Lepisosteus oculatus: one gene and its partner. The protein of the gene in region 1 purifies or fractionates together with the protein of each later gene. This does not show direct contact. Links are inferred from orthologs where the notes say so. Each region holds a gene or a part of one and is shown in the gene's direction. Other genes may lie near its edges. The genes, in order: en1a and transducin-like enhancer protein 1.

Region 1 (15,472 bases):
GATCAATGAGATGTTATGAAAGAACTTCTAATGTTAACGAGCGTTTTGTATTTGATCTATTATTTAAAAAGCAAATGCAATATCTGCATGAACTGAAAACCTGAGCTGTTTTGGTGTATCAAGTAAGAAGCGTTGTCTGTATGTACATGCAATCATTTTCAGATTAATCTTGCATCTTGTTTAACTTAAAATAATTTAAATTAATCTTTAAAGTAATTAAATTACTAGAAGCTGTCTTGTATAATATATATATATATTTCAGTTCGGTTCTAAGACAGAACGTTTGGGTCACAAGTAACACGGAATACAAAATTCATAAAAAAACTTCCTAAACACATCATTTAAGAAATTAATAAAAATGTAATCTTGTGTACTGAGAAGTAAATATAAAGGTAATTATAACTCAGACTTATGCTACTAAAGAGGATCCTGACATTAAGATAAAAATGATTTATTCTATTTTATAAAATACAAGATGCTATTTAAGTTAATACTCTTGCACCCCTTTTTTAGACTCAAAGTTCGTCTGTCCAGTAAAAAGACAATACATTTTTAATTTTGCTAAAATGTGCAGTTTAATCATTGAAATGCATACACACATATATACAGTATATATACAGTAATTATAACAAAAGGTTGTCAAGAAGCCAAATTTATTGTTTTTAATTAGAAGCAAATAGTTTGTTCATTAGAAAAAAAGCCTTGTTTGTGCATTTTAATCAAATCAAGTTACCTCTCTCTATATATGTTTTGGGTACGGCGTATTTCAGACAGAAATGGGGTAAGGCTTCAGATATTGCGTATGTTCTGTAAATGAGGCTTTTCCAGGGCTCTTTGATGTGGAAATTATGCAAGGTCATTCTGCAATGGTCTGTCTTCTTGTTATGTTACACTGAACAGTAACATTCAGAGAAATGCAGAAGCGAACCGTTTCGATCATGACTGCGTTATTCGGACGTAAAAATCTTTATAGAAGAATTACGACTGATGTTGTAAGGGTACTAATAACGTCTCAGTTCTTTTAATTTTCAATAAGAATCTGAAAAATGTCGGGTCTATTTCTTCAAACCATTACTCACTAAAAGGATGGGCTCAGAATAAGCTTTATAAAAACAACGGGCAGACACCGACGCCAAGAACAGGAGAGCTTTGCTCGCGGGTCGAGAACTAGACCGTGCAGTAACACAGGTACACTTCTGTGTTGCTTTTAATTAAAACTTTCCGGGAAACTGTAAATGCATCAGTGATAATATAAAAATCACATATATATGTGCACACTCGTTTTGCCGATAAAATACTTAAGTCATTATATAGATATACGAGATCTATACGTTGCTCTGCGGTTCAGTGTGTCTGTTCCACTGGACTTTCTCGTCTTGCCGGAAGACCCCATGCGTGCGTCTTTTGCATGACAATTTGGAGAGGAAACCCTTTTATCGAAAGTGAGCGTGACTTGAATTTGTGTCGCAGTGATGACCCAGTTCCAGCTCTCGCCGCTGGGAAGCAGCAAAATTGCATCATTAAACTACAGAATGATATCACGCCGTTTCCCTAAACATTCTCCTGTTTATTAACGAAATGAACAATTCGGGTACGTTTTCTTAAGTTAAAGTGTGATAGGCTAATGCCACACGTTTGTTTTTTAAATGCGAAACCACAGTCTGTTAAGTTGTAATATGCTAGAAACTATTATTAACCTTTGGCTTCTATAACATGGGTATCACTTAGAAAACAGCCACAATCATGTCAGATTAAACAAATAATAGTTTATTATGTTTTGCATGAATATACTGTAGCTCAAAACGCTTTGCAAACGCTCTCTCTTGATTATTGTTCAATACCAGATTGTGTGCTCAGGGCATTCGAATTTTTCAAACTCCGGAACCCCAAAGATTTCTATAAATCATTGTTTTGTTGCTTCACTTAAAATGCCCCTCAACAAGATGGATCTTGGACAGCTTTCAGTCTGCACGGACTACATACTGTACTTTCAAATATGAGACATACTTTCTTAAAAAATGAATTATTTACCATCGTAAACAAGGTCTATCTACGAACGTCTGGTGCGCAAGAGACATTTGAAATAATAAAACGACCACATTCTCAGTTTCTGTCTATCTTGTGTCAATGTGATTCATACCATATCGCTACTCGCTAGGGTAATACATTCATTCTAATATATTATTATATATATATAAAAAAAAACCATTTAGATGCATGTGCTTGGGGAAAGGTGATGGGCGGGTGTATATAATATTTTCATCTGTTGTTACTGTGCTGAGAACGGAGTTCTGGGGAAATGGGTTTTTATTTTGTCTTGCTGTTTTGATATTTCTGCCACGTGAATTTCTACCATTTTATGTTCGTTTTCTATGTTGGAAGTTTGTTAACCAATGCTTATGTAGAACGCAATTCTTGTTTTATTGAGTTATATTCTGCATATTTAAGTTTCAATCTGATTTGTGAAATATAGAGTTTTTGCAATCATTTTTTTCAAGTCTTAAGATTTTTAATTTCGTTAAGAATTTTTAATGTGTCGCCTATCCATTTTTCAGTTTAACACGAACAATTCAGCTGATAATAAAAGTTGACTGTGTAGCGCACATATCTAAAGCCCTGATGTCGTTTTGAATTTAACTCAAAAAGCAGGTGTGTCACTTTGACCGGGATAACATAACAAAACGTTTTATATTTAAATATTCTCCCAAAAAAGGTGTAGTTAACAAGAGGGTAATGAAGAGCAAAAAACGCAGTTAATCGAAAAACAAAAAATAAACTGCTCCTCATTTCGAAAGATATTAGTTTATAGATCTATTACATATATAGAGTGTCATTCAACTGTTAATATTAAAAAGGTTTTAAAAAATTGTCTTTTTTGTAAAATATTGTGCGTATATATCATATTGCCCAGGTGCGAAAGTAAAAAGAATGCAAAGACACAACGCGTGAACTTACTGCATATGTTATAATTTAACACTCTAACCCCTCGAACAGTCCTTTGTACATGTGAGACCCAACACGTTTAACTATAGGAAACAGATTACCAACTTCAGACACTCATTTAATGATGCCAACAATACACGTTGTAGGTAAGTTCGAGTACATACCTTGGGAAATAATGTTATTTTTGCTGGAATAATTCACGTAGCCGGCAAAATGAAATTCGAATTTTCCGTACTTCTTGACCCCACTGATCGCTGCCGTCACTGTAAGATTTAAACATCTGAAAACCTCCTTCGCGATCGTGTCATTTCTGTGTAACGGGCAACGGAGCCCCGCGCAACGCCACGCACAAAGTCACTTCTACTTTTTTTGCACAATTGTAATACTTTATCGTTTTCGTTCCGAACCGCTTTCGGGCACTTTCTCGCTTTAAAACACCAGAATAGAACAAAATAAACATTTTATACTTTCTCCTGTGAGTTACAGCTTTCAAGTGACTGCAAAATCCCTTAGCGATAATTGAATTAGTCTATTGAAAGGACTGTCAGGTACAATGACGTGCTATACTCTGCACATTTCCCTGTGTCTATAGGCTTTGGGGACCCAGAATGTATAGTTTGACCTTACAGCTCATAATTATAATGGTGCACTTGTAGCAGAAATCTATTCGCATTGAATTCAAACAAAACCTGTGGTCACTCAGTCCCAGTAGGAAGGGTGAAATCCATTGTATTAAAACAACTCATTTATGTCCTTCTGCAAGGACTCTGCTCTGATCTTATCACACGATACACATGGATTTACTGTTTCAGCGAGAGGCAACACCCGGAACAGGTAAAGTCGCTAACGCATACGTTCTTTTGAAGGCTGTAAACAAACAAACAAAAATAATAATAATAACCATGGAGCCAAAGGCTGCATTTAATTCCAAACGTGGGTTGTTTCCAGAGGAAGCTCTTTTAAAAATTAATATTAGAAATAAACCCGTAGCCCGTGTATTCAAAAAAAAAATATGCTTTAAAACAGCGCTTTTCAAAGCCTACGTTTATATATAACTTCAAAAATAAACGGAGAGTTTGCTTCAAACGGAGGCCAAAGAAAGAAAATTCACGCTACAGCCTTGATCGTCATTTGGATTTTTTTTTTAGATAACGGCGGCCTTTGTTTTCAAATTGAATCGCGGGGTAACCTGCACAGGCGTACGCAGATTTCATTTCCTATGCTATATGTTCCTTCTTACTGCGGGTTATGGCCAGTGCTGAGCGGTAGTATGTCTGTGTACATACACAAAGGCATGCTCACAGACTGGCACCACACACACGAACACACTGTACACACAAGAACAGTGATGCCCTGCATTTTGCACCACCTATTTCAGTCCTGCAATTAAATAGCACGAAGCCCGTTATTTTGTTTGTGTTTTGTTCTGTAAATGAAACAATCCCCGCTGCTGTGTGAAATGTGCAGTTGTCTGGAATTGTCTAGCTCCCTGTGTTGGCTTTATGAACATGCACAGGATATAAAAATTGAGATTATTAATTTCAACCTGACCATAATGAAATTAAAACAGTTGCTACATCGATTTCTAAACGATTTTCGAGACATTTAGCAAAGGGTGTGTGTATTATATTCAATAATACAAGCTATAGGCCGCTAGTGCATTTATCATCCCATTACTGTAACAAATCCAGGCTCCAGTACATGAAAGGTAAAATGAATTACCGACGTTAAGCCGTCAATAAAGTCATTTCTGTAAATGGTGTCTCCAAAGGCTCCAGCATTATTCAACCAGCTTTATCAGCAGCTTGGAAATTACGTTGAGAAGCTCGCAGCGTGTAATATGGCCCTGCTTACTTTGATTAAGCGTCTTGCCAGGGAATAGTGACAGTGCTTTTGACCAGATTTTATTCACTCTCCTGTGATGAACGCCAAGCTGATCAGGCGGAATGAAGAGTAATTAAAACCTATAAATTATCTTTTGCAGTCCTTCTCAAGGCGTCTCTTGCAGGCAAGATAAGGCTGCGAGCCCCTATTTACCGACTGAAAGGGACCGGAGCTCACAATGGCTACGTGGCTAAATAGGATATTGATAGTGTCCTAATTAGAATTTAATTAAGTACCCACACTAGCTTTTGGGATAAAGATTTCAATTTTGGAACCTTAAATATAAATAAACTCAAACGAGTTGCAAATAACTACTTTAATATTTCCCTCATCATTTCTGTTAAAATAACAGTGCTATTTGTAAAAGAAAATTACAGGGATAACTTATTAATGCAGGACCGTCTGATGTTATGCATTAGGCCCGTGTTTCTTTACATAAACGACGAGTAAACGAGTATATATCGTGCAGAAACTTATTTCTTGAATTTGTATGTGTGCACATAGTGATTGGAAGGTACCGGGTGTCTGAAGACTGTTGGGTGATGTTTGTAGTTTTACATTTGTTTCGTTGCCCTTTTAAGTTATAGACATAGGTTTGCCTCGGAACTTTCTTGCGTTAAAGAAATATAAGCGAAAGCGGCCGCACAATTTCTATAAAACGAAACACCACCGAGTTGTTTCGGATATTCGGTTTGAAGTTTGTCGAAAAAGCCACGCACGTGTCCGGGGTCAAGCAGGTTTTAAAAGCCGGCGAACATTTTACATTCAGCTTTCCAGCCTCTACAACTCATCGCGAGCGATCAGTCTTTACGCCACAAATTGTGTTTTTTTTTTTTAAATAAAAAAGAAAGAAGTTTCTCAATGTAAATTTTGCCTAATTTTTTTATGAGTATTTTTAATTATTTTGCAAAGTCTTGTACACCAAGGGTAGAGGCCGGTAACACACGTTAGGTGTCTGCAAGAGGTTGTATTCAGTTAAAAGCAAATTTTATCTAGGTGACAAACATGAAGCCCCTTACAATTGCGGGTCTGGAAGCATAGTTTGAAATAACGCAGACTTGTTCAAGAAAGTCGCTCCAGACAGAAACATATACTGTAGAATGTATAGTTGGAGTCCGCTATGTTAATTATTAATAAATAAAAAAGTTAACTATACCAATATTAAAAGATGTGGTCAATGATATAAAGTAAAAATGTTTCTAACTGCTTTTGACTATCATAATCTTTTTTTTTTAAGTAAAGCGAAAAGCAGCTAATTGTAATCTTGTCCTTTGTGTTTTCCTGACAAGGTCTAATCCAAGTGTTTTAAACACTGGACGCAAAAACCGAGAATGTGATCAAAAGCAATTATCGCGTGTTGATTTTTTTTTTCTCCACGAGAAACATTTGAGGAATATAGTTAGCTTCACCTGTATTGTCAGAACTGCTGCAACCTCAACTCCACAATGTAAGTCGCTGTAAAACCGGACATACAGCAATAAAACTTTTTGTGCGCTTTTAGTATTACCTGCAACTTACCTTTCGGCATAATGCTAATTTACCTACGACCGCAAGAGTCTTGTGTTTCATTTAATTGCCTGGTTATTATGGGTTATGGGACGCGTGCGCTTGTGTTGTTGGGCATATTTTCTATGAAAAATAATAAGAATCATGCGGTTTTGAATCCAGAATACAAAGTTTTGGAAAACCTTAAGGAACCTGCATGACAAGAACACTAAGCATCGGCACTGGGGCTGATTTTAAATTCTCGGTAGTCGGCACTGCACATACAATAAGCATCTGCACGGATGTACAGAGTACCGCTGTGAACCCTTGCTTGGTTTTCTAAAGTCCATTTATTATTTATTTGCGAAGAATCGCAAGAGGCAATTGGGCACCGGGGCTGGTGTCAGAGCGCCTCGCTCCCGTCGATTGGTTCATTGCACGTGTGTGCAGGCTCACGTGCTTCCGGTTGGTGTGGAAAAAAAAAGTGTGGAGAGGCTGAGCGATTTTAGGAGAGTTTGCAAAGATCGAACTGTCATAGATAAGAGAAACGCAGGGACTTCAAACCGGCGCGCAATGTGTTGTCAGCTTCGCCAGGCGGGCAGATTATGACACTTGGAGCTAAAATCCTACACACTTGTAGGATGCCGCGAATTTAGAGAAGGTTGGTTCCATTTAAAAAAAAAGAAAAAGAGGTGTTTATTGTATTTTTTTAATATTGACCGACTATATTGCCAGGCTTTTTTTTTTTAAAGAAACGGGATACAAATAAATATTCGCCAACAAGTGGAGTTGGGTTCGGAAAGAGGAGGCGAAGCGAATTGGATCCAGATATGGAAGAGCACAAGGATTCAAGTAGCCGGGATTCTAGCGAAGGGGAGAGCGTCTCGCTGTCCCCGAATCTGCCCTCCCCGCCGATCCTGCCTCACCCGGCAGCGCAGCAGGCTCACCGAACCACCAACTTTTTCATTGACAACATCCTGCGGCCGGACTTTGGGTGCAAGAAGGAGCTCGGGAACAGGGACCGAGCGCAGACCTCCGGCAGGGAGAACGTGAACCCTTTGGTCATCAGGCCGTCTCACCCGAGCACGCTGTGCCAGGATTCAAACTGCAGCAGTGACAGCACCTCTTCCTCGTCCTCCTCGCCCTCGCCGGCGTCGAAACAGAGCCCGTCGAAGCCGGGCGAAGGAAATGGAACTAACACGGCCAAATACGGCGAGAATAACCCCTCTCTTATGGTTATGAGCGCGAATAATGGAGGAACGGCGGCGACTAAAGAATCTCAGCCGCTACTATGGCCTGCCTGGGTATATTGCACAAGGTATTCAGACAGACCATCATCTGGTAAGGCAATAGTTTCTTTTTTATGAAATAATATATATATATATTGCTTGCGTCGGGGAAAAAAAAAAGAGTAACAGAAAATGGATCACGCTTGAACACAGCCTGTGCACGATATTTGTACACACAGTCACAATACTAGATATACATACATTCACATTCAGCTGGGCGACAGAATAGCGAGGCGAGCGAGGGAAAAAAAAAGTTTCGAAGGCCGTTAGACCCGCTGAATGTTGACTCGCAGTTCACAGCAAATTAATTTAGATGCTAGAACTCTTGGTCCTTTTAGGATAACTAAATCTCAGTCTGTCAGTATGCTAAATGCAGGGCCTTTCAAACAAAATAATAATTGGAGGCCTAAAGGCCGCAGTTTAAGAGCACATTTTGTGTTTTGGAACCAGTAAATTGTTGCCGGTTTAGAAAACAGTGGCTGTTTCGTTTCGCATGCAACTGTAAAATTGTAGGTGGACGTGAAGATCTCTTCTCAACTTGGGCAAGTACGAAAATCAGCCTTTGTGTGTAAAAAATAATTTAAAATATGCATTTTAGGCGATGAATATTCTAACAAGGCAATCGGGCACATCTGATACAAAAACACTAGGCACTGAAGTTAATTGAGCATTCCGTATATCGCACTGCCTTTACAAACACGTTACTGTAGCCTGCCTTTGTGTGGCTAAGCGCGCTAATGAGAATTTCTTTTATGAAACCATATATAAACATGAGTGCAGGAAAAATAAAACACGATAGACAGTCACCAGTAACATAAAAGGAAATAATAATAACGAAATGCATTAATAACTTTAACGACACTGCATTCACGAGCCTTTGAGATAATCGGCTACATTTGAACGTTTATGCAAGATTCACGTTTCACGACGTTACAAAATCGATCAATGGATATTTTTTCAAGAGGAAAAAAATAAGAAGAAAAAGGGTTGTAGTGTGATAATATAAATATTTTTCTTTACTTTTTTGACCTGCACTGCAAATTATGTTTTCTTTTTTTTTCCCCATAACACGGAGGTACTGCAGTACACCCGCGGGACAGGACAGCGCTAGGATACCGCTTTCTAAAACGGGTTCTGCGCGTACTCTCAATCCTAGCAGCCTGCTATACCTCCACTTCTGAAAGTGATCAATTTGGAGGTCCTTCTCCACAGAGAATGGAAAGTTGCATTGACCGAGCTGATTGATAGACTGATTAAGCTGTCAGTGCGAACAGTTCACCGAAACGACACTGCTTGTTCTTAAGCTCAGTGAAGTTAAAATACAATATTGGAATTTGCTGATCTACTAGGTCTGTGTAACGTTCCCTGTGAGCTATGATATTTCTAGTTTACTCTTGGCACTGCTGAACCCTACGGTGAATTTAATAGAAATGACACATTGACAAGACTACACCGTACACTTATACAGAAGCTCTGTCAGTTCATTTGGCTTGATTTCACTCTCGGGCGCATCGATTTTAGGCCTGGATGGGGTAATCTTCTGCATTAATTCTTTTACAACAACGATCAGATTTAACTACAGACCCCGGAGTTCACACGCAAACACTCACACCTTCCCCTGATAAATTGGGCCATTCATTTAGGGCTGTACTGCTTGTGTTGAGTGCACTATCCGTTGTTATGTTTCGTTGACATTTATTAAACGAACTTGAACAAAGCCTCTTGCGTTATAGAATTATAGAAATATATAGAATGCATGTAAAACGTATTATTATTATCCATAATACTGGAAAGAGTACTTTTATAAGTAGAAGTAAACTTTATAGTGGTTTCTCTTAGGTCTCTAACCGCAGTCATCTGGAGCAACCATGTTCTCTTGCGGCTTTCGAAAAAGGAACAAGTAAAAATAGTACACATTTCTGAAAATTGCGCAATTTTCTAGCCTCTCAAAAATAAGTGTCAATTTATTTGTGTAAAATAACTGCAAAACGCTGCAAGTGTTACATTTTTCGTTCGGCGTGGAAATACCTACCTATAACACTATATCTACTGGATTTCCACTAGGGATAAAGTGGCCTGTGCTGTTATCTGTTTTATAAACACTGAGGACTCCTGGAAATGTGATAATAATACTGCAGCGTGTTCACGATTTTCCAAATACTGTAAAAGGCGTGGCTTACTCTTAAAATCTTTAGCCCGCATTCCTTGCATGTAAAATTAGTTATGTGAGGTTGTGTTTTGAAATATACTTTGTTTAGTGGGGCCTTACACTGTAGTTGGATGGTTGAGAGAATGGATCATTTTTGTCTTTCTCGGCGTGACAAAAGTACCATAATATAGTCTAATAGATCGCCCGCATAAAGATACAAAACTCGTGGCTCTCTCCTCGGGCAGACCTAGTATGATCATAATAAACATGGCGGTCTTTATCTTCGTATTTAAGACAGTATTAATATGCCAACTATTATTATATCGTTATAGGAACGTCTGAAATATTTTAAATGTCATAAATTATTTTTCTTTTTGATGAACACCCTCACACCTCGGCACACAGTGATCGCTGACAAAAAACAACTTTACAACCAAATCAATAATAACAAAATGATTATTGTAATATTGAAATGCCCCCCGAAAATTGCACTAAACTATGTAGTGACAACGAAGATCGCTCGTAAACGATCCTTCTAAAAATCCTACCGTATCAGGAATAGTGTATGTTTAGGCCGGAATTCTGGGATGTTTTTGAAATGTCTTCAAAAACGCAGGATGTTAAAAAATATTTTTTTTTCATATTGTATATGTATATTTCTGTGCACATTTTGAAATTCAGAAAAATGTTGAAACAGATCGGAAACGTTCTTTAAAACTTAAATTTAGTATATTATGAAAACGTTATCTTGTATATTATGCTTTTAAATAAGCGGTTCTGAGCGAAACAAAATGTATTTTAATGTACATACTAGTGTACAGTTTATTTCAGACTAACCCCAGCAACTGCTGTAACGGTCATATTTTGTTAGCCGTAATTTGCCAGGATATACTCTCAACACGCAACCTAACTGTAATAAATATTCTTTTGTTAGGGAAATAGGTTTGCCGAAGCTTGGAGCAAAACATTGGGAATCCCTTTCACATAAAACCAAAAACTACTCGTGCAACGCAAAGGTATAATCTAATCACTTATTGTAATGTAGTGATTTCGTGGCGCGTCATCAAAATTCTCTCACCTAGCAGAAAACATATATCGTTTCCTACCACTGCAGACAAAATTATTATCGGGTTGGTAAATGACATGGATTTATTCACGACCTCGGAATTCGTAGATCCCGTCATCTCCTATCTATAGCCTGTGGAACAGATACCCAGGGCTTACTGATATTTACGTATGCGTTTTATTGTTGTTTCTACACTAGGCCCAAGGACACGAAAATTGAAAAAGAAGAAAAATGAGAAGGAAGACAAGCGACCTAGAACCGCTTTTACAGCCGAGCAGCTGCAAAGACTTAAAGCGGAGTTTCAAGCCAATCGGTACATCACAGAGCAGAGGAGACAGTCTCTGGCCCAGGAACTCAACCTCAACGAGTCACAGATCAAGATCTGGTTCCAGAACAAGAGGGCTAAGATCAAGAAAGCCAATGGCTTCAAGAACGGTCTGGCCCTGCAGCTCATGGCCCAGGGACTTTACAATCACTCGACCACCACAGTTCAGGAAGACAAAGACGACAGCGAATGATCCCAGCACACTTTTCTTTTCCATGTACTGCCGGGCGCTGGCTGGAGGGCCAGAAACGAAGCTTTCGAAGACAAAAAAAAATTAACACAGCGAATGGAGTGGGACAGGTGCTATTTAAATCAGATCTATGTCTATCTCATAGTATATGGACTAAACTATATAAATAACGAACGATATAAAAAGTCTATATATAGCCAAACACCATAAGACGTTGTATATATTTGATTTCAGGTAAGGATGTGTCTATAGCGATCCCTACTTGCTGGAGATTTTATCTTTTTCTTTATGATGTTGTTGCTCACTGTTTTAGTACGTGTCTGACTCAATAGGGGTTCTTACGTGTTTTTGTGTCACTCTTCTTAACTCACAGTTCTATACAGACTGCGCTCCTGAACCGTCGCTACAAGCCAAAGATTTTAATATGTTCAGAAATATGTAGTCTGAAATAAAGTGTAGAATGTGCTCTCGATTCCTTTTTTTTTCTTGGCTGCAGTTCATCACTATTCCTTAACGTTTATTGTTTTAAATACACCTTGAGACTAAACCGAGCCACCTCAAGTCTGCGGGAGATCTTGAAGCTGGGAGGGCGCACAAGGCAGTTCTTGTAATGTCGGAGTTTATACCAGGTCAAAGTATGTCCAAACGCGCCCATCGATTTGATTCGATAATGCAGGAAAAATGGAAAATAAACTTTTTTTTAACTGTTCTATGTGAACGAGGGTTGTTTTTCCGTCCTATTACACTTTCTTAAACAAGCCTTTTTCGCAGGGGTTAGGGGTGAACAGGGGGAGGCTTCAGGAGAGATTAATTGATTACAAGAGGATTCCTATAATCACGCTCACGTGAGGTTTTTCCCCCGTATATGAATTAAGACATTACGTACAATACATGTACACAGACTATATATATCATGGTTTGCAGACAATTATGATAATGCTTAAATCACATGCACGTTTTAAATCCTCCGTCGCATCGATTTTAATTAATATAACTCTGTAATAAATGTGAAGGGGAAATGTTACGTTTCAATCTGTTTTGTCATTCAGGTATATTGAACCAAAAGTTATTCCAGGTCTATGGGGGAGCTCTCTCTACGATGTAAACAAAGAAGAGTTTCCTTAAGAGTAGGCTCCCGTGTTCTGCGGATTGGTGTTATTTAGTGGTGTCTAGGATAATGTGGTTTAGCTGCAAGCACAAATGTCTAGCGTTTCTGGTTGAAGGAATCGATACAAGGAGAGCTTGTGAGGTCAAATGAGTGTCTTCAAGGTCGCTCAGTAAGTCTAAGGCCGACTATCACTTAAGAAAAAAAACAAAGCAGAATCCACTGTTTGTGTCGCGGCAAAATGATGGAACACTTTCGTTTATTAAATGGCATTTGTTACCACTGTGTGTATTTCTGACTTGTATTTCAATTTATATCCAAGCTTGCAACGGACCTGCATTATGTATTATCTGTTTGTATTTTTGTGTGTTTTTTTTTACAATGTTCCTTGTAAGTGTATTTTGTCAGTACAGAAGTCTACATTTATATACTGTGCTGTACAGCATCCATTCAACACATTATATAGAAATGTCTTTGGATATACGATTTTGATATTTACTTATTTACACTGTTAATTAATTACTGGAATAGGGTATTCGTTATTAGTCTTGCAATGCGTCCAGAGATTAATGCTCATATCGATGCAAAGTAAGAACAGTAAAATCGGCAAACGCAGTAGGGAGCCAATAGCTGTTTAAACACTAAGTAAAGACATTAAATAATCATTAGTAGATACGATGCAAGCTTAGGGAGATCAATTGCTTAGCCCCGTGCAATGTATTAGCGATTCTCTATGACACAAAATGAAACGACAAAATAAAGTTTCGTGCTTCCGATGCCTTTTTAGTCATTCAACGTTTTGTCATGCTATAAAATATGTTAAAGCGATAAAATGCCACGTTTGGAAAGCGGTCTGTAGAGAAACCTTCTAGTTCCAGGTTCGTAGCGGGTTGAGGTCGACTGCAGGCGGTAGAGGAGACTCCGGGCAGTTTCGTGCTCTCCGTACACGTTAAAGTCGACTCTGTTTCATGTCCTCAGTACCTATTTTTTGCTTTCTGATGTTTTAATTCATTGCGTATAAATAATTGTACTTATTATTGTTTGTTGAAGACTTTAGTATCCCCCGGGATGCACTTTTATCGGCGATATTCTAACAGGTAAAACCAGCGCCTGAAGGAGAGATCGTTCCCCGTGTCTACAGCCTAGTCTTTGCAAGGTTACCAAATGTGCATTCTTATGTGATGTAGTTCTGCATGAAAACTAATACACAATTGTGTGTAGCCTCGTATGTTCCACGACGTTAGGCCTTGTTGACGTTCTTTGGATAAGGGTAGAAAATATAATAGTATATTTTCGTTTTGAATTGTATCGATTTTTCCCCCCCACAAAGCCATAATCCTGAATCTTTTTTTTAGACCGAGTAGGCCTAGTGGATCCACATTAAATTTCCCTTTTCAAAATACAAAATGCAAACTGCGTTCCGCGCCGCTAGGCTAAAACATCACTGTTTTTTCCATGACGTCCCCCGCCCCCCCATTTTGTGATCATATTGCGTAAACCGTTTATCCCTTTCAGTGTTGGGAGCTCTCCAAACATTTCTGATGATTGAACAGTTGAATTAGCATCACTATTTTTATTGAGTTATCAAAATATCACTACATGCGGCATTTTTCCATACTGCGCGAACTTTCTAATGTTCTAATGTCCTCAGCGTTTGTTACGATTGTAGGATAAATTTATGAAGACAGCGTGGAGGGACGCCAAAAATATAGTCAGCAAGAGCAAGATCAAACGGCATTTTTAAAAAACCACGTTAAGAAAAAAAGTGAGGAAATTCCGAGGGTGTAAATTATGGGTATAGTCTGAGCCTTCACTGTTACCCTCCCCGTCCCTCTCACACCTCCTCCTTCCCTCCCTCCCTCTCTCCCAGGAGCACACCCAGATAGGACTCCCTGCGCCAATCCCTTTGAGTCTGTGCTCAACCGAGAGTCTCACACGCCGGGTGGATATTAAAAACGCCCAGCTCCTGAAATGCAATAACCAGAGAAAATACGCCAGAAAGCCGCTTCCACGACGTTTATGTCCGGACCCCGGCTTGCGTGACTTAAATGACTCGTTCTCTCTGCTCGGGGACACGCGTTGGCACGGCTATGACGCAAACCTCATTGGACTATATTTCCCGACGGCCTGTGTCGGGGCAGCGAGCTCTTTTGTGCCTCTGTCCCGGAATCAAAGCAGACCTAAAAGGGAGACCTACCCCTCTGGGTCAAAGGTCACGCATCGCCGTCAAAACTGACGATTTAAGATTTTTAACACTTTAGTTGTTAACCTTTCCCGGGGCCCGCATCTCATTGTTAAAACTACGGCGAAACGAGTTGTTGTGAAATTGCTTGAAGACAAAAAAAAAAAAACCGTGCTGGTGCTAAATGAGCCACAGCGTGTCTGTTTGAAAGCTCGAATAGCTGTAATATAGGCTATAACGCAACAGACGTTGAAATCTATAACCAGTGTGCGTATATATGTTCAAGATCCATATATCTGGGAATGACATCTTGATTCAGCCCGAAGTTAGAGCGAAACTTGCTGATCGGGTTTTGCATGACAGAGTTTATGTTGAATTATTAGCTTGCTGTTGCCACAAAAGACAGGCTACCGAACCAATAATTTAGAGATAGGAAGCAGGATGGAGAACATCACAAATATATTTGGAAAAACCTTTATGTTACACCGCCTGACGCTTCCATAGTTAACATTAGAATGCGGAGATACAGTATATGCAAATTGCACCCGATTGTAGGTATTTTTGCAGTGTGTGTAGATGTAGTCTGATTATCGTTTAAATTATTCCCTTCCACAGACTAAATCCTTGCTCATGATGTTCTTCACTAAATCCTTCAATCAAAAGAGGAAGATTTATATAGGAGCTTTTGTTTAAACCCATTACGTTTTGATTGATCGTAATTTTTAATGGGTTATAAAACTATTAATAATAATTATTTTTCTTAGATTTGGACTTCATAGTAACACCAAGAATAATACAACAATTTTTTTCCCATGGGATTTGATAGTAACAATAATTATTTTTTCTTACATTTG
Region 2 (16,136 bases), on another chromosome or scaffold:
AAGATGTTGAAAAATAACCCACATACATCAATCTAAATTAATCCATTTTAAAGTTAATGAGATTAGATGAATACAGTGCTTTTAAGAACCTGAATGTTATAAAATACATCATGTATTATTTCCAAAAATCCAACACAGAATGTAGATTTTTATGTCTTTATTTATGTTTAATATATTATTATTTGTTTTGGCCTTGACAGCACAAGTATTGCAAAGAAAGGCGGCTACAGGATTTAATCAACAGTTTTAAAAGCATTTTATATACAATTGGTCACATATCTGTCCCCGGACCACAAATATTCATAAGTGCAACAAATCAATGAACTTGGTTGTTATAAAATGGTGTCTGAAGTCTGTGTGGTCTGTTGGTCATAACAAGGACCAGGTGGTTTCAGCTTTGATCTGCTGGTCTCAAATTCTTCACTGTGGTTGGGCTTGTGTGAATGTTTCTAAGTGGTTCAAATTAAGACTCAATTCAAATTGGACTTGTACTGTATCTCAAAAATACTCTGAAAAGATTTTTCAGACACTGTATTACTTTCAAGGAGAAAGGAAAAAAATAGAAAATAAAGTTGCCTAGTACTACATAATTGACTGCTAAATGCTTTGGTGTACCATAATACAGGTTTTCTGGAGATGTTCCGTGAAGTCATTATTTAAATAATGTATTGATCATGCTTTTGAAAGACTGGGGTTATATCAACATCTTCTATCACATTTGATTATTTGTATATTTCAGTTGTAAGTTAGAGAATACAATTGAATTAAATAGCTTCTTCCATAGAAGCATCTGTTTCCATAGTTTGAAATATTGCATTATTATAAAATGGTCATTCCTGTATACAGTACATTACTTTTCCTGCTTTGTTCTTGGTTCATGTCAGGCAAAAGATGTCCTTGAACAACCCCTGTGCTATTCAAAAGGTGTTTATACTTTTATGCTCACATATTATGTGCTTGATGAACTGATTCTCCAAGCTGCATACAGAGCACATACAGTAATTCTCCACTGACATTACAAAGCACAAATACAATCCCCTGTGAGCAGAAATTAAATAGCCATGTAGATTTTCTTTCAAAACTAGATAACACTTATTACTTATGCATGCTTTTATTAGCAAAAATGACCTTAATACTGGTTTGAGATGTTAAAATAAATTATTGTATTTTTTTATAATGTACTTAATATAGCATTGTCTAATTTTCAACAGGTTACCAAAATGTAATATCTTTAGTAATTTTGCAGAAACACAATTTATACTGCACCTCAAATAATTATGTATTAAAACATAGTAGTTTTTATTTTTTTTAATAATCTTTTACATAGACTATAAATCTCATTAAGTATTTCCTAGCTGTGTCATCAAGTAATTAGTAAATATTATTTTTTATGCAGTATATTTTATATTTTACCAGTGCGCCCAATTGTTTTGACAGAAAGAGAAGGAGTTTTGATCTTGTCATAACAGAAACCTTTTTTTTCTGTCAGAACATTTAATTTCCTCGTGACATTCCTATGTGCATCTCTCCACTTATATTGCCTCCATAGCACAAGATATGTAACTGAAGCTGCCAATTTTGTCTCCTCTATGATGCATGGTGGGAATTCTGATTGCATTTTTGCAGAGATCTTAAACCCATTTCTTTAGAACATAAATTCCAAACCTGCTTATACATTATATGCAAGACACATCCTTTGTTATTTCTGTCTACATTAGTGTTGGAACATTTAAAATAGTTTAATAAATCTATATTGACAGAAAAGCTTTTTGGATTTTTTGTTTTGCATGTATATTAAATAAGAATAACAACTTCTTTAAATGCTTTCTTTAAAGCATTACATTTTAATATTGCTACTTGTTGTATGTGCTGGCATAGAAGATATTAAGGCTACATTAGTAAATATGTCTATTTTTTAAAATCTTTAGGTTTTCTTGTAAGATACCAAGTTGTATTTCAGCCTCAATATAGAATTCCTTTTAACTATATCAGCCATTAGTTTTGAGCACTATTAGGTTGTGCCAAGCTGTTGGAAGAGATAAGTTCCATAAATGGTAGGTTCTTTAGTAACTTACATTATTTGACTTTTTAAAGAAAAAAAAGAGAAGTTAGAAGTTTTTTTTCAACAAAATCCCACCACTTCTGGATCAGTTCTGACAGAGAGTATGCAAAACCTGATTTGGGCTAAAGTCTGAAAGCCATGTTTCTATTAAAAAAAACAACACACCTAAGCCATTTGTTTAACCGCAAAGATTAGTTCAGAAGTGAATAGTATTTGAATAACAAATCCCGGTCATTAGTAAAATATAGCTCTCTAACAAAACAGGGACAACTGACCAGTGAATGCACCCAAAACAAAAGTAGAAGCTATGATCAATGTCAGAAAATAATCTTTCTGTTAGATTTTTGATAGATATACAGTATATTCAGTAATAAAAGTAATTTAACGCTGAAAAAGTCTCAAAGAATATGTAGCAGTAGATAAAATAACTTAAAAAAAATAAAGTTTTAAGTTGCTTAAAATGGCCAATGCATTGCAATTTTCAAAATGGGTAGGATTTTGTTTACACAGAGAAAATACATTTGAAGTACTTGAGTCATTGCACACATTTTGGGAACAAATAAAAATTAGAATAAACAATATTTGGATAGAGTACCTGTGTGCCCTTGAGAAATTACTACAGTCAACTGAAGTGTTAGAAGAAATGAAACAGATAATAAAGGGAGTGGCAAACACAGCAGCAGATCCGCTGCACATATAATTGTTGATAGGTGGGAACATGTTGAAAATTAAATGTAATGGTGACTATTGTAAAGTGATCCATGCAGTAAGTAGAAACATACACAATGAATACTGGATGAGTGAAGCTAAGTTACAGCAAGCTATGCATGTGACAGATTCCACTTATGGAAAATTCAGCTATGTCCTCATCAAAACAGAGACACAGAAAAACAATTAAAAAGCAAACAAATATCCTTGCTTGCATAGTACAATGTGTGCAATTTAAATCAGGTATTATTTAGGTTTACAATGCTTAGTAAGACTTCATCTTTAGATTGCTGCATTCAGTTTTAGTCACAATACCACAAAAAGGATATACTTTTAGAAGGAGTTTTAACAATAAGAACAAGAATGCAACAAGAATGACTTCTGGTGTCTGAGATTTTTTTTTATACAGACAGATTAAAGGAGCTGAATATTTCAAGCCTTGATTCAAGTATACAACATCCTGATGAGCACACGGGTCAAGCTAAAAGCTACTTCACGTTCAGGAAAAAAGCAAGACAATGTTATCAAAAGTGGCTATAAAAAAGGAATTTGTTTAGGATGGGGAGCTGCTGTTGGTGTCTGGAGAAGAAGCAGGAGCAGCTACAGCAGGTAGGTGAGCTCACCTCTCTGCAGGCATTAGCTGGATGAAATTTTAAATTCACTTAGCTACTAAAAGTCCACAAAAGCAAGATAAGTCAAATGACATGCTCTTGTTTCCAGCCTTACAACCTGTCCCTCCTAGAGCACATTTTAATTGTCAACTGTTTTTTGTTCTTCTCAAAATCAAACAATGATGCACACAATGTTAATCAAAGGAATGGAAGTGTAAGAACTGAAAAATGAAACAGCACATGCTCTTGTAAAAACAGAAAGTCTTTAAGTACAGTACACAGAATTTCAAATGCAAAATCCGAAATATTAGTAAATAATCTGGAATATGTGAGAAAGGAGGTAAAGTTATCATCTACAGAATGAGCAAACTTCAAATGGAATTGCTCATCAGACGTTCAATAAATACTACAAAGCCATTTAAAATCTGATAGAAAGTCACTGAAACAAAACATGCAAGGGAAAGGGTATGAAAAATGCCTAGAAATTACCAAGAAAAATTAATTTCTCTGTAAAGGTTTATTTTTATACATGAGAATAGTGGGTGATATCATTTTTCTCTGTGGAAGGATGATTATGCTGAATAAAAAGACACTGCTGTATAAGCAAAACAGGATTGAACATGACAGATTTTTGGTTGAAAATTACTAATGAAAAATAAATAATTAATTTTGTGAAGACATTCTTTACCACCTCTAGATAGGAAGGCACTCCAAAGCATTACATGTGAAACATTAGATAAATAGGATATCCTGGTATAAAGTTAATTTTCTGACTTCTAACTTAAAGTGTATATTTTTAGTAACACTACCTTACTGTATGTTGAGATTAAAATCTTGATTGAAAGTATCAGACACTTTATGGACAATGAAATAGGAGCAAAGAAAGTGATTTGGATGTGACTTTAATAAACACTTTCTAAAAACCTAAAAGATTTAATAACAAGAAGATAAAGAGATCAAAAAGGCAGAAGAGCCAAAGTGTAAAGATCCCACTTGGGTTTATCCGCCTTCTTGGTCATCCGAATGGAAGAAAATAGCTTATATCCTTTCTGATCCTTGGAAGCTGCTATCAGTTGTCCATGAAACAGACCTTCATAATAAATCCTTTACATGCCAGTGTCCTCCTAGGTTTAGAAATTTAAAGTTACCAAGGCTAAAGGAGTATCGACGTAGAGAGGAATCAAGGATAAATGATAGTCAGGTTAAAGGAAGCACAAGGACGGGCAAGTAATTAATAGGTGGACAGAGCTGTTAACATGCTAAAGGGTAATCTCAGATAGGAAGACTGAGCCAAAGCAGAGAAAAACAGGACTCTGGAGTGCTTCCTGGGTTGTTGTGGGTCTATATAAGGCTGAGAAAAAAAAATAATGGGAAAAGGGCGGTGGAGTGGAGGGGAAAAGATTAGGCAAAAACACAAGATTTGATTAAAACAGACCGGTTTCTGTGAATCTCTGCCAGATGGGAAATCATAATACATTTATTTAGCCTACATACAGTACATTATCAGCTGCAGTAGCAACCATCAAGTACAAGTCTGTGAACATTGTGCACAATGTTATATATGAGGAGTATTATATGTCATCAGGCTGCAAAAGCTAGTAAAAATGGCAGTTCTGACAACAATGAAGTATTTATGCATACTGGTATCTGATCCTTATGCTACTTCACCGCACAGGGTTAGAAGTCTGGGTTGTGTAGGTTAAATTGCAGATATAAACTGAAAATCGACCCTGCTCTTCGAAGGGATGAGGGCTTCTTTAAAGATCTGGCTTAAGAAAGACCTAGAGTCTGTTTATTTTACTCAAAAGAGACTAAACAGGTGGTTTGATTGAATTAACAGTGTCTTAAGAACATGGGGTGGAGTTATCCCATGCGTTACAATGAGTCTGAGCAGCTGTTAGGGGAATTTAGTTGCTGAGGGTGGAGGCTCATGTTTCTAAATAGAATCAAAAAGAATAAGTACAGAAGTACTTATGTGAATTGGTGGCTTTGCATGGTTGGGTGAAAATATTTAATTAGAAAATAACTAAATTTAGTAAATCAGTAAGATATACAATTTTGTCATTCTGAGTCTACATAACATTTGTGTATTTAGTGTTGCTGACAAACCTCAATTTCCTACAAATATATTTACGCATTCCTGAAGTTTGATAAATATTGTGTGACAATACTACTTCATTTACGTTATTTAAACATTCATACTTTCAAGTAACAGTTATGAATTCTAGCGAATTGGGTACCTTTATGAATCAATAAAGGCTGTGATAGTGATGCACATGAGAAATCAATAAATTTGCATGAACAGATTGTTTAATGATAACTGAAGACAGAAGAACATTGGAGGGTCCTGGCACGGTCTTCATCAAGCAGTGAATAAATAATAGCTGCAGTTGATAATGATGGAGATGATTATGATAACAGACACATACTGTACATTAAGAGAGTTACTTTACAAATGCAACACATATTTTCAGCACTTAGAGTGCCACACTATCCAATTAACCTGTCTATGTGTGAGAGTATGTCATTGTAATATGCTTATAGAAAATGGTAGCATTCATGTTCCCTTTTGTACACAGTGTGACAGCATGTGGTGAGCAATGTGTTTTTATTTTAGACATGCAATGTTGTTACATGAAGTCACTGGGGCATTCAGAGTCCATCAATCAATCATCACTAGACATCAGCAGTGCTACAAACTGAAAGAAAGCACCTGTGACCAGCCCAGGCTTGGTCAACCAGGTGTAATGACTCAAGTGAGACCACCTGAGAAACTGCTTCCAAAGAGGGCCAAATATGCTTTCTAACACAATTGGGTGTCAAAAGACTCATAAACCTGATTGCAGTCATCGGGCAGTTCAGAGCTGTAACATATTGTAGTGTCTCTACAACAGTACTGTCCAGACTCAAAATCTGCAACATTTGCAAGCAAGCTTCTGACAGATTTCAAACAATTCATGTGGAATGCATCACTTATTGCATTCAAATGCTTTATCCCCATTTAAATGGTCAGTGGTTGACATAAGGGTCATTATGTCTAACACATATACAGTATGCATAAATTTGGACATAGGCAGAGATATTGAGTACAGACTACACCCATCATCTTATTATTAATCTGGGAAGCAACTGCCAGATAAGCAGCATTAATTTGACCATGGTTAATGATGACATACGCATCTACCACTGCCTGTCCTGTCCCACAGGTGTTGGATTGTGGCTGCAGTGCAGTTGGTCAGTTCATGATATTGATCATGTTGCACATTTTATGATGAAAGAGTGCAGTATTATTTTGACACTGATATTGCTGTGGTAGAACGCAAGTGTCATGAAATTGTAAACATGAAGTTGTATAGTCAGGTTACAATGGACATCGAGAAGCTGACTACTAAACTCTGCATTAATATCTTCCCACACCATCTGTCCATGCTCAGGTGATGCTTTCTCTATCCAGCCCCACGCCCAAAATGGAAGTCAATGTCAATGTCTTCCTGTGCAGTTTCTGTTTGAAGTGTTGATGTCAGCATTATACTATTGAATTATTTATTCTGAAACAGTTTTGCTGCTGTGAAAAAAAAAATAAAGGGGAAAACAGAGATCACTTGCATTTGCGATATTTTGAGTAAGGATGCAAAAAATGTTGTTTTCAGTAATGAAAGGTGTAGAGTTAGAAGCAAATTGACAGTCTTAAGTGGATTGGCGAGTGATGTCTGAAAAGGGTTAATCCTAAATCTGTGTCCGATTTGCAGAGGAAAAATCACAAATGGTGTGGGGAGCCATTAATCCAGAATTTAGGAGTCAGCTTCTTGATGTCCATTGTAAACTGACTGCACAGCTTCTTATTCACAATTTCATGACACATGTGTTCTGCCACTGTAACAGCGATATCAGAGTCAAGATAATACTGCACTCTTTCAACATGATAGTGTACAAAATGATCAATATCGTGAGCTGACCAACTGCATTGGAGCAACAATACAACACCTGTGGGACAAGATTGGTAAATGCATATGTCATTATTAACCATGGCCAAATTAATGTTGCTTATTTGCCAGGTAATTCCCAGATTGAATATAAGAACATGGGTGTAGTCTGTATTCAATATACTGTATATGTCTATGTCCAACATTTTGCATATACAGTATGTGTTAGACATAATGGCACTGTCAATCATTGACCATTTAAATGGGGATACAGCATTTGAAGCCAATGAGTAATGCATTCTGTAAGAATTACGTGAACTCTGTCAGAAGCTTGTTTGCAAATGATGAAATGATATCACAACCAAATCCTTCTAGTCAATTAAAAATATAAAGAAATGCATTTAAAACAAATATTAGGAGACTCTTCTTTATACAAAGGGCTGTGGGAAAATGGAACAAGCTACCCAGCCATGTTGTTGAGGCTAATATCCCTCCTTTTTTAAAAAGACAGCTAGATGAGATTATCAGATAAATTAGTTACTAAATATCAAATAGGTAAGATCTTTGAATGGCCTCCTCTGACCCATCCTTATTCCTTATGCTCTTTTTGAATAGCAGCAGTCATTATTGTTTAGCTTCAAGATGAGTAGATGATCAGTCTAGCAATGATTAACGTTGCCATATGTAACTGAGACTTTTTGTAATTCTTCAGGACCAACAGGACAATAGTATTTCTTTATCATTTCCACTGATATAATTCTATTCCACAGGACGAAATTAGCAGGTTTTATTACTGATCACTTGATGAATCCAATATGTAAAGGAGTTTAAACAAATTACAACACCACATGGTTAAACGGCTCTTCATTATCTGTACTGAGTCATTGTTGTTCTTGCAGAGCTGTGCTGAATCTTTAAAACAAAGTTTAGGTTAAAATCCTCAGCCACAAAATATATAGGTGGCAATCAATAACTTCCAATGTTTCAGTCAACAAATTCATTACATTAACTAGAGGAATAAATAACAAGTTTCTGGTTAGCAGTGCAGTTGATGCAATGTTAAGAAGTTAATATGAGATATTCTTTAAATTACAAAACAGCTTGTGAGGGCATAAGTCTTACTGCAGTGTTGTCAAGGTGAGTTAGAAATCTGTCCATATACTTTGAATTCTAATGTGAAAGCAATAACCTGCTGTCTTCCATCAGTGTGATCTACAGTCACAAAGAGCATCTGGCATGATCTCTGACCCCACTACATCATGTCAGTTTTACAGGTCAGCTGTTCCTCTACTCCATCTACCTACTATGTTGTCATTTTCTACTTATTTTATTTTCGTTTCACTGCAAAGTATGACTTTGTTCAAGTACTGATCTATATGTAAGAAGCAGCACTTAAAAATGTATTTGAAGCTGAATAATGAGGAAACATAATTATTTTTGTACATTTCTTTTCATTAACTGCAGTTATGCTTATGGTGTGTTATTTGAAAAATTATACATTTTTACAGTTGATTTTGTAGCAAATTTAATTAAATATATAGATGGTCAGACATGCAGTTTTGTGAAAAATCTTCCTCTGAATACAAAACTCTTTTAGTTCTAAAGCAACTTTTAGGTCAGGATAACCTAAAAAATAATGCCTTACGGGTGACAAAAAATCTATTTTTGTATGCTTGTTTTATATGCATGTGCAGTAAAAAATAAAAACTTTTAAGGTTGTAGATTACCATGATCTGTTTTTTTTTTAAGATATAGTAAAATGTCTGGATGGTTGGACAGAACAGAGTTAAAAATCTGAAATAGAGATTACATAGAATACAAAAATTATAGGTCTGATATGTGTGATCAATTAATAGATTATTCACTGTTAAGCTATGGGCAAAGTCAACAAAAATACAGTAACTCCATTTCTAACACATGGGATTTTAGACTCAGAATTATCACATCCAATCAGCTTTTAAAGAACATATTTATTGAAGTGGGATGCCCATTTTCTGTAATGCTGTGTACCAGACGCTTAAAACAGTAAAAAAAATAATGAAAATTTGTAGGTGTGCAGATGATAGGTAGGCATCTTTAATAAAGCTTTATTTCTCAAGGTTGATTTTGTCTTTAGAAGTTACCTTTCCAGCTTCACACATATGCTAAGTTACCTTTCAAACCTGATGTTCTTAATTATTTTCTAGAACATTTTAGGTCTTTTTTTTTCCTTGAATGCAAAATCAACAAGGTGTAAACGAAATCGAAATCGCATTGTTTGTACAAGGAGAAAAAAAATCCGATTCTGTCTCTTTAAGGATTTCGCACTCGTCCCACGTTACTTTGACTGACATTTGAGGATTGTCACTCTCCCGCAGACCGACCACCTCATCCTTCATTCTTACATTTAGCACTCTCTCCTCTGCCATTGGTTGCCTTTACCGTATCTCAGCATAATCGACAAGCATGAACTCTCACGTATTGATTCTATTGGCGAGTTAGAGAGGAAACGTCATGACCCCACGTGTACATCTAACCTTGATTGGCTGCCGTGAGTTTTCAGAGGCAGGTCTAGATCTGGTTAGTTCAGGGAGTGTGAAACCGCGTGTTAATGTAAGCAGTGGGGAAGAGTGGGGTTGGGTGCTGTATTGTCATTCTTATTATTAAGATTTCCATTTTTATTGATACTTTTTATGTTTTAATATTCGGCTTTATTATTGAGCTATAGTTTAGGTGTTGTATTATCGAGTACTTTTTAGTTGTTTTTTTTAATATCAAGTGCATTTCCATGTTTTGCTAAAAAAAACATTTTCATTTTATCCTGGAACAGCACACGCGGGGGATACTTCATCAGCCATTTGGAGGGAGGTGTTATTTTTTTTTAAAATAATCATTATTTTTGAGACTTTTGCGACAAACGTTTCGGTTTGGTCTTTTTGTATGTGTCGCCTGTTCGCTTTGTTTTTGATCTTTCTGGATATCGCTTCGGGGAACCAGCGCTACGTTGTTTCATTGGGGGAAAGAAAAAACAGTTCCAGGGTGGACTTTATTTCGCTGTTTGTGAGCAAATGATTTTCTCATTTTTGGGGGGATTTTCGCTTTCTCTATTGGACTAACTCGAAAATCAACGAAGGTCCACTGTACAACACAAGTTAATTGCAGACCTGCGACGACTAGGAAGCGCTTGTTTTGTTCTGCGAAGGAGACGGTGGAGTGAAATAAAAGGACGGGGCACCGAGGTTTGGTTTGCTTTACGACCCCATTTCTTCGGGGATCCAGGATGAATTTATCCTAATTCAGAGTTTCCTGCTTGTGCTTCTCAATTTCTGCTGAAAGGGGTTAAAAGATAACCGAGAATTGAGGATTCCCGGAGGAGGCGCTTGGCTGAAGGAGCAATGTTTCCTCAAAGCAGACACCCTGTGAGTGTAACAGTACAAAGGAAATGGGGGAAAAAGGAAACTTCGCGGCTTTTGCTTTCCTGGCTGAATTCGTCGAGTTTTAATTTGTTCGTTTGTATGCAAAAAGTGAACGTTTTACAGTGCACTGAATGCTACGTTGTTATAATACGGGTTAATGCTATCCAGTCGCTCATGCGCTAACTCTTCAGTCGTTTTGATGCCAGAGTTTATTCGTTTCGTGGTTTTCCAGCTTTCCTTTTGTTTCTCATTTGATTAAGTCATAAATGCACAGCGCAGTCTTTTTTTTTTAAATGGGTTGCATATGATACGTTCTTGCCTTACTTAATTGGTAACAGCAATATCTTTGCAGCGTTTTATAGCTTTTTTCCTACACGACAGCCTAGGACTTGTCTGCCCCGCTTGTGATTTGTTTCAGTTTTTGTAGTGTCGTGTGCGTATAAAACTTCCTTTCAAAATTGTGAACTAAAATCGGCAACATAAAACCCGTGATTCTGCTGTCCTTATTTCATTTCTACTTTGACAGACGCCGCACCAGGCTCCTGGGCAGCCCTTTAAATTCACAATTCCCGAGTCTTTGGATCGGATAAAAGAAGAGTTTCAGTTTCTACAAGCCCAATATCACAGGTTAGTGCAATTTCCTATTTACATAACAGTAGCCAGCGCGAATATATCTCAATTCCGGACGAGTTATTTACATTTGACTGTTTTGTGTCCATTCTGCGGTAGGTAAAGTGTGGTAAGGTTGAAGAACCAGAGGGTGGCGTTTGTAGTCAGGTTAAATAACCACTTTCCTTCCGTCTGTGGACAGGACTTGTCTAAATGTCCTTGTGGTTTAGGGTGTGCATACACTCTACAGACATTTACATTGCATTTCAAAAGTTCTAAGGCCGATGTTTTTCATCCTTTATTAACTCTGATCCCGGCTTGTTTTCTTGGTGTCCATGAACAGTTAACTATCGTGTGTTTTGAAATGGTATTGTGAGGAATTTGGCTTAGGAGTGTAATGGCAGCTCCATATACTTTATGGAGCTTATGTGTGCAGTCTGGTACGTCAGCCTAACCACTTAAAAATGGAGTTTATCGAAACAATATGTAAGCAGTTAAGCATTTTATTTACTCAAAATTGCAGCAACACTTCAAATATAATCGCCCTTGTTTTTTTATATATGTCAAGTGATTTAGTTCTGCATTAGTGAACCAAAATGTTTTCCCTTTCAGTAATATTGAAATGGTAATCACTGTAACAGCCAGAATGGAGCATTACTTTGTTTGCCATCTTATTTTTTTTAAACACTTACCTGTATGAGTGGTCATGGAGTCATATTGAATATAGATGACATTACCTTTGGCTTAAAAGAACTCAGAGAAAACAATTTTCATTTACCCTGAACTCAATTTGTAAGACTGGATGTCTTAGGTGAAGGTGGAATGCTGCCACAGTATTTCTGAGACAATCTTATTATACACTACTTTAACATTTTGTTCTAGAAAGAAAATGAACTGAACAGAGATCCTGATGTAAATGTGTCAGTGATTGAATTTGAGGTCCACATGTATATAATTTACTTTAAAATGGTTTACCTATAGTGCATTAAAAACACCTTGTCATTATGGGAGCCACAGTCACCAACAGTGCATGTTTGATGTGAAATTACTGGAAAGTTAACAAGGATGACTTGGGATCTGAATTGCTCTTTATAGTAAATGCAATATGCCACTTTTTTTTTAAATTGAAGCTAATTGCATAATTGCTTGATAATTTGCAGTTCAGTACAGAACTTTCTTAGGCCCATGTTGATACTAAATATGCAAAATTCAGCACTTTTTCATTAAGGCAGGCTTGTTACAGTAATGTCAGTTCTTAATGCGATTTTTGTTAACTGTTTCCTATTATACATTTTAATTGAACATGTAATTTGACCTTTGTTTTTAGTCTCAAACTGGAATGTGAAAAACTTGCAAGTGAAAAGACAGAAATGCAGAGGCACTATGTAATGGTGAGTTACTATTACGCAGGCTTTTTGTGCAGATTGCCAATTTCTCCTTTTAAAATCAACACGTTTGAAAGTAATCTGTGATGTTACATGGTTGTTGACTTTTGTGCATGTGGAAATCTACGACATAAACAGATGTTTGAAAAAATGTGTGAGGTGTGCTCTGAAACTGACAAGATTAACATGTGTTCACAGTACTATGAAATGTCTTACGGGCTCAACATCGAAATGCATAAACAGGTAAGCTCCGTTTTCTTCTTTCACTTACAAAAGTTTTCCAAGTTTACATTAGAACAGGTGCTTGCCTTTTGAGTTTCATATCTTTGGACCAATTTAGTTTACATACTAGGGAGGATGGGGTTTGTAAAATGGGAAAGCAGCTGAAGAGATTGTCATCTAAATTACAAAAATGGCTAATGTTGAATGAGGATAAAAGGTCTTCAAAGTAAGTTTGAAAAACCTTCTTTTCTTGCATCATTATTCTTTTTGGCTTGACTGTTTTATAAATGTAGATTTTGACTCTTGATTTGCAATAGTGACTTCAAGAGTGTAAAAGCATGTAATTCATGTTGATGTTTCTTGCTTGCAACAGGACTCTAGTAAGTAAGGATATAGCCTGGAAGTGTCTTTTGCATTACAGGACTGCAGATTGGTTTAGATTGATGTGTAACATAGTTAGCTCAGGATGAAGGTGAAAAGAATGTGGTATTAACATAGAGGAAAGGGGAATGGAAGCTAAATGATGACTAAATCAGCCTGATATGGAATTGAGTAGGCATTGTCTGCCAAAGAATGAATTAAAGGCTGAGTGTAAGTACTCTGCTTGTATGCTGACATTCACTTTTTCATCAGGATCTTGGCAACAATGAGTCTTTAAGTAATCGATTGCTTCTTTTAGAAGATTATCATTAGATGAGGTTGCAGTGTTTCAAACGTAGAATGAAATTCTTGCTTGATGCATTTGTGCTGTCTCGAAGCAAACCCTTGTTTCATTAAATTAAAGGGCATGGCTGATGGGCTAAAGGAGAAGAAATTGATCATGGAAGTCTTCAGATTTTCACTGTGCTCAAAGAGTTTTACTAAGCTAATGTACTTTGAAATTCCCAGTACATTTCTGTCTTTTTCCATAGATATTCGTAGTCAATTCAAAGGTTGATAGCAGCACTGTCTTGACTGTTCATATTAAATGTCAGAAGATGAATAGATGCTGAAAAGGACTTAGTCCATGTCTGTCCTAATTGTTTCTAAAATCCAGTGGAGAGGAAAATTACAAAAATTGGAAGCAATTGTATTTAAGATGACAGGTTTTTTACATTAAAAGGTTTTGATGAAATGTCCTTATTTCTTTGCATATTTGCAATGAATTGTGGATAAAAATGCATGATCAGTTTTTTAATGCTATTATGGACATTTTTCACTGAACAAGGATAGAACTAATAGTTTTTTAGAATAACCAAGAACTGAAATCTTTACAGGAATGCCGTTTTATCTTCCTTTTTTCTAAGTGTGCTGTAATACTTTTTTTTTAAATGTAGTTACTGACGTCAAGTGAGTATTTGGAACCTCAACGGTTCTAAGAATAAAATGATAAAGTATTGAATATTCACGTTCTTTGGACTTGGATAATATCGGAGATGTCTCGTGTGAATGTACACTTTAGTGGTTTTTCATAACTGATAAGTGATGTTTTAGCGTAGAGGGGAAAAAATGCTTCAGGGTGGTGTATGTTTTGAAGTGCCTTGGCATCAGGGTTTAAGGTAATGTAAACCTACTTGGATTGTATATATTCTGGGGGAGACAGTGTCCAAGTTATCTGTAGAGGTTGATTGCTTGATCAACAACTGAAAAACAGACTGGTATGTGCAATAATAACACATTCTCTGAGCTGCACAATCTGAATAAATGTGGTCCAGCCTTTCTGACGGTGCAGACAGTGTCGCAGATCCTGTGGAGGCGTGCAGCATGAAGTAATCATAATTCTTATTAAAACTGGTGACGTCTGGGCCCAAGGGTGTAACCAGGCTCAAATTGATGCCTTTTCTCTGACTGATCACCAGTGCGTCCTAAGTGCTCATTATGTTGTAGAGAAGGCCTCTGCAGCTCTCATTACATTTGACAGGAATTCTCTCCAGAGGGAAACTGGGCATTAGCTAGGCTCCTGGCAGGCTGAAATTATTCTTTTTATTGCTTATAAGCAAACGCTAGCATTCATTGTAAAGGAAATGTCATTTTGACAATGTCTTTGTTATTAGGAAATGCTCTGCTGTGAAAGTCTTTTTTCCCCCCTGCCTTGTGCTCCAAGGCATGCTTGTCTCCAGGGCTAACTACAGACTCAGTCATTGTGAAGGCCTCCTGTGGGTCTTCTGTATTTTTTTAATTCAGCCATTGCTGCTCAGTCAAGGATGAGTATTTATATATATATAAACTTTCCCAATCAGCTGTCCAGCTCAAAGATGTGTATGCCAGCTTAACATTCCTGCTTTAAAAATGTAGGAAATGTGCTTTAATATGGGATGTATAGCATACACACTGAAAGCACTTTCAAACTGGACTCTAATTATGGAAATATAAAACCATTATCTTGAAGTATTTTACTCCTCCACGTTCATGGCATGTCCTATAATATTTTTAGTAATATTACTTCTGTTTCTGTCTGACACTTTCCCCTTACAAAAATGTATCATTAAAATGTATCCACTGATTTAAATAGGAAGACGTTATGAAAAAGTCGGCTCTATTGTTTTTAGGAGAAAATCGTTAAATGTCATTACCATACAGTGTTGTGTACTTTTAGATTCATGCTTGCACAGTCAAAATACAAGTATTATTTTCTTCCTTTCAAGATACATTGATGTTCTTAGGTAATCAACCAGATTTTCCAGTTTTTCTAGTTTTCTTTTATCTGCACACTCAACTGGCTTGACCATAGGCCTATTCAGCATGTTAGAGACTCGAATTCAAGATTTCCCATGGGGTTTTACCAACACTTGGAATCGGACCACAATAGGGGTTGTTTATGGGTCACTTATAATTTCCCCTCATTCTCATTCCCCACAATGTACTAGTTCAGTTGTTGTGTTAATGAGTGAGACAATGGGTACATTTAAATAAGAAAATGCACAAGAGACATCCAGGGTTCTCATATCACGTAATTAAAACGGCACATTTATGTATTTGGCATTAGAAGGCTTAGATTCATGATATGTGGTAATATCAGAATGAGCTGTTCTCGACAATTTCAGTATGGCACCTTTATGCGCATCTTTGAATGTTGCAGACCACATAAGCATTTAATATATTTTAACATTATCTCTAGATTACTTTTTTGAATGATCAGGTTGGAACAGTGTTTTTTAATCACACTAAAACCTGATTTGTAACAAGTTTTATTGCCATTTTGAAACTATATATGTTAAGATAATAGTACCCTTAAATGCTTC

Evidence for each region.
Region 2: the proteins of en1a (region 1) and transducin-like enhancer protein 1 purify together in Homo sapiens (affinity purification with western blotting; 4 studies listed by BioGRID and IntAct, with this or other methods). This does not show direct contact. The link is inferred for Lepisosteus oculatus from reciprocal best matches to the Homo sapiens genes EN1 and TLE1.

What each region holds. Positions count from the first base shown.
Region 1 is NC_090707.1:6,365,556-6,381,027, reverse strand, and holds en1a (homeobox protein engrailed-1a), read left to right. Parts: upstream 1-6,836; 5' UTR 6,837-7,142; coding exon 7,143-7,653; intron 7,654-11,014; coding exon 11,015-11,334; 3' UTR 11,335-13,197; downstream 13,198-15,472. UniProt on the Homo sapiens protein: Required for proper formation of the apical ectodermal ridge and correct dorsal-ventral patterning in the limb.
Region 2 is NC_090698.1:60,292,210-60,308,345, reverse strand, and holds the start of transducin-like enhancer protein 1, read left to right. Parts: upstream 1-9,887; 5' UTR 9,888-10,522; exon of another isoform or gene 10,523-10,619; 5' UTR 10,620-10,678; coding exon 10,679-10,702; intron 10,703-11,225; coding exon 11,226-11,326; intron 11,327-12,635; coding exon 12,636-12,699; intron 12,700-12,891; coding exon 12,892-12,936; intron 12,937-16,136. UniProt on the Homo sapiens protein: Transcriptional corepressor that binds to a number of transcription factors. Inhibits NF-kappa-B-regulated gene expression. Inhibits the transcriptional activation mediated by FOXA2, and by CTNNB1 and TCF family members in Wnt signaling.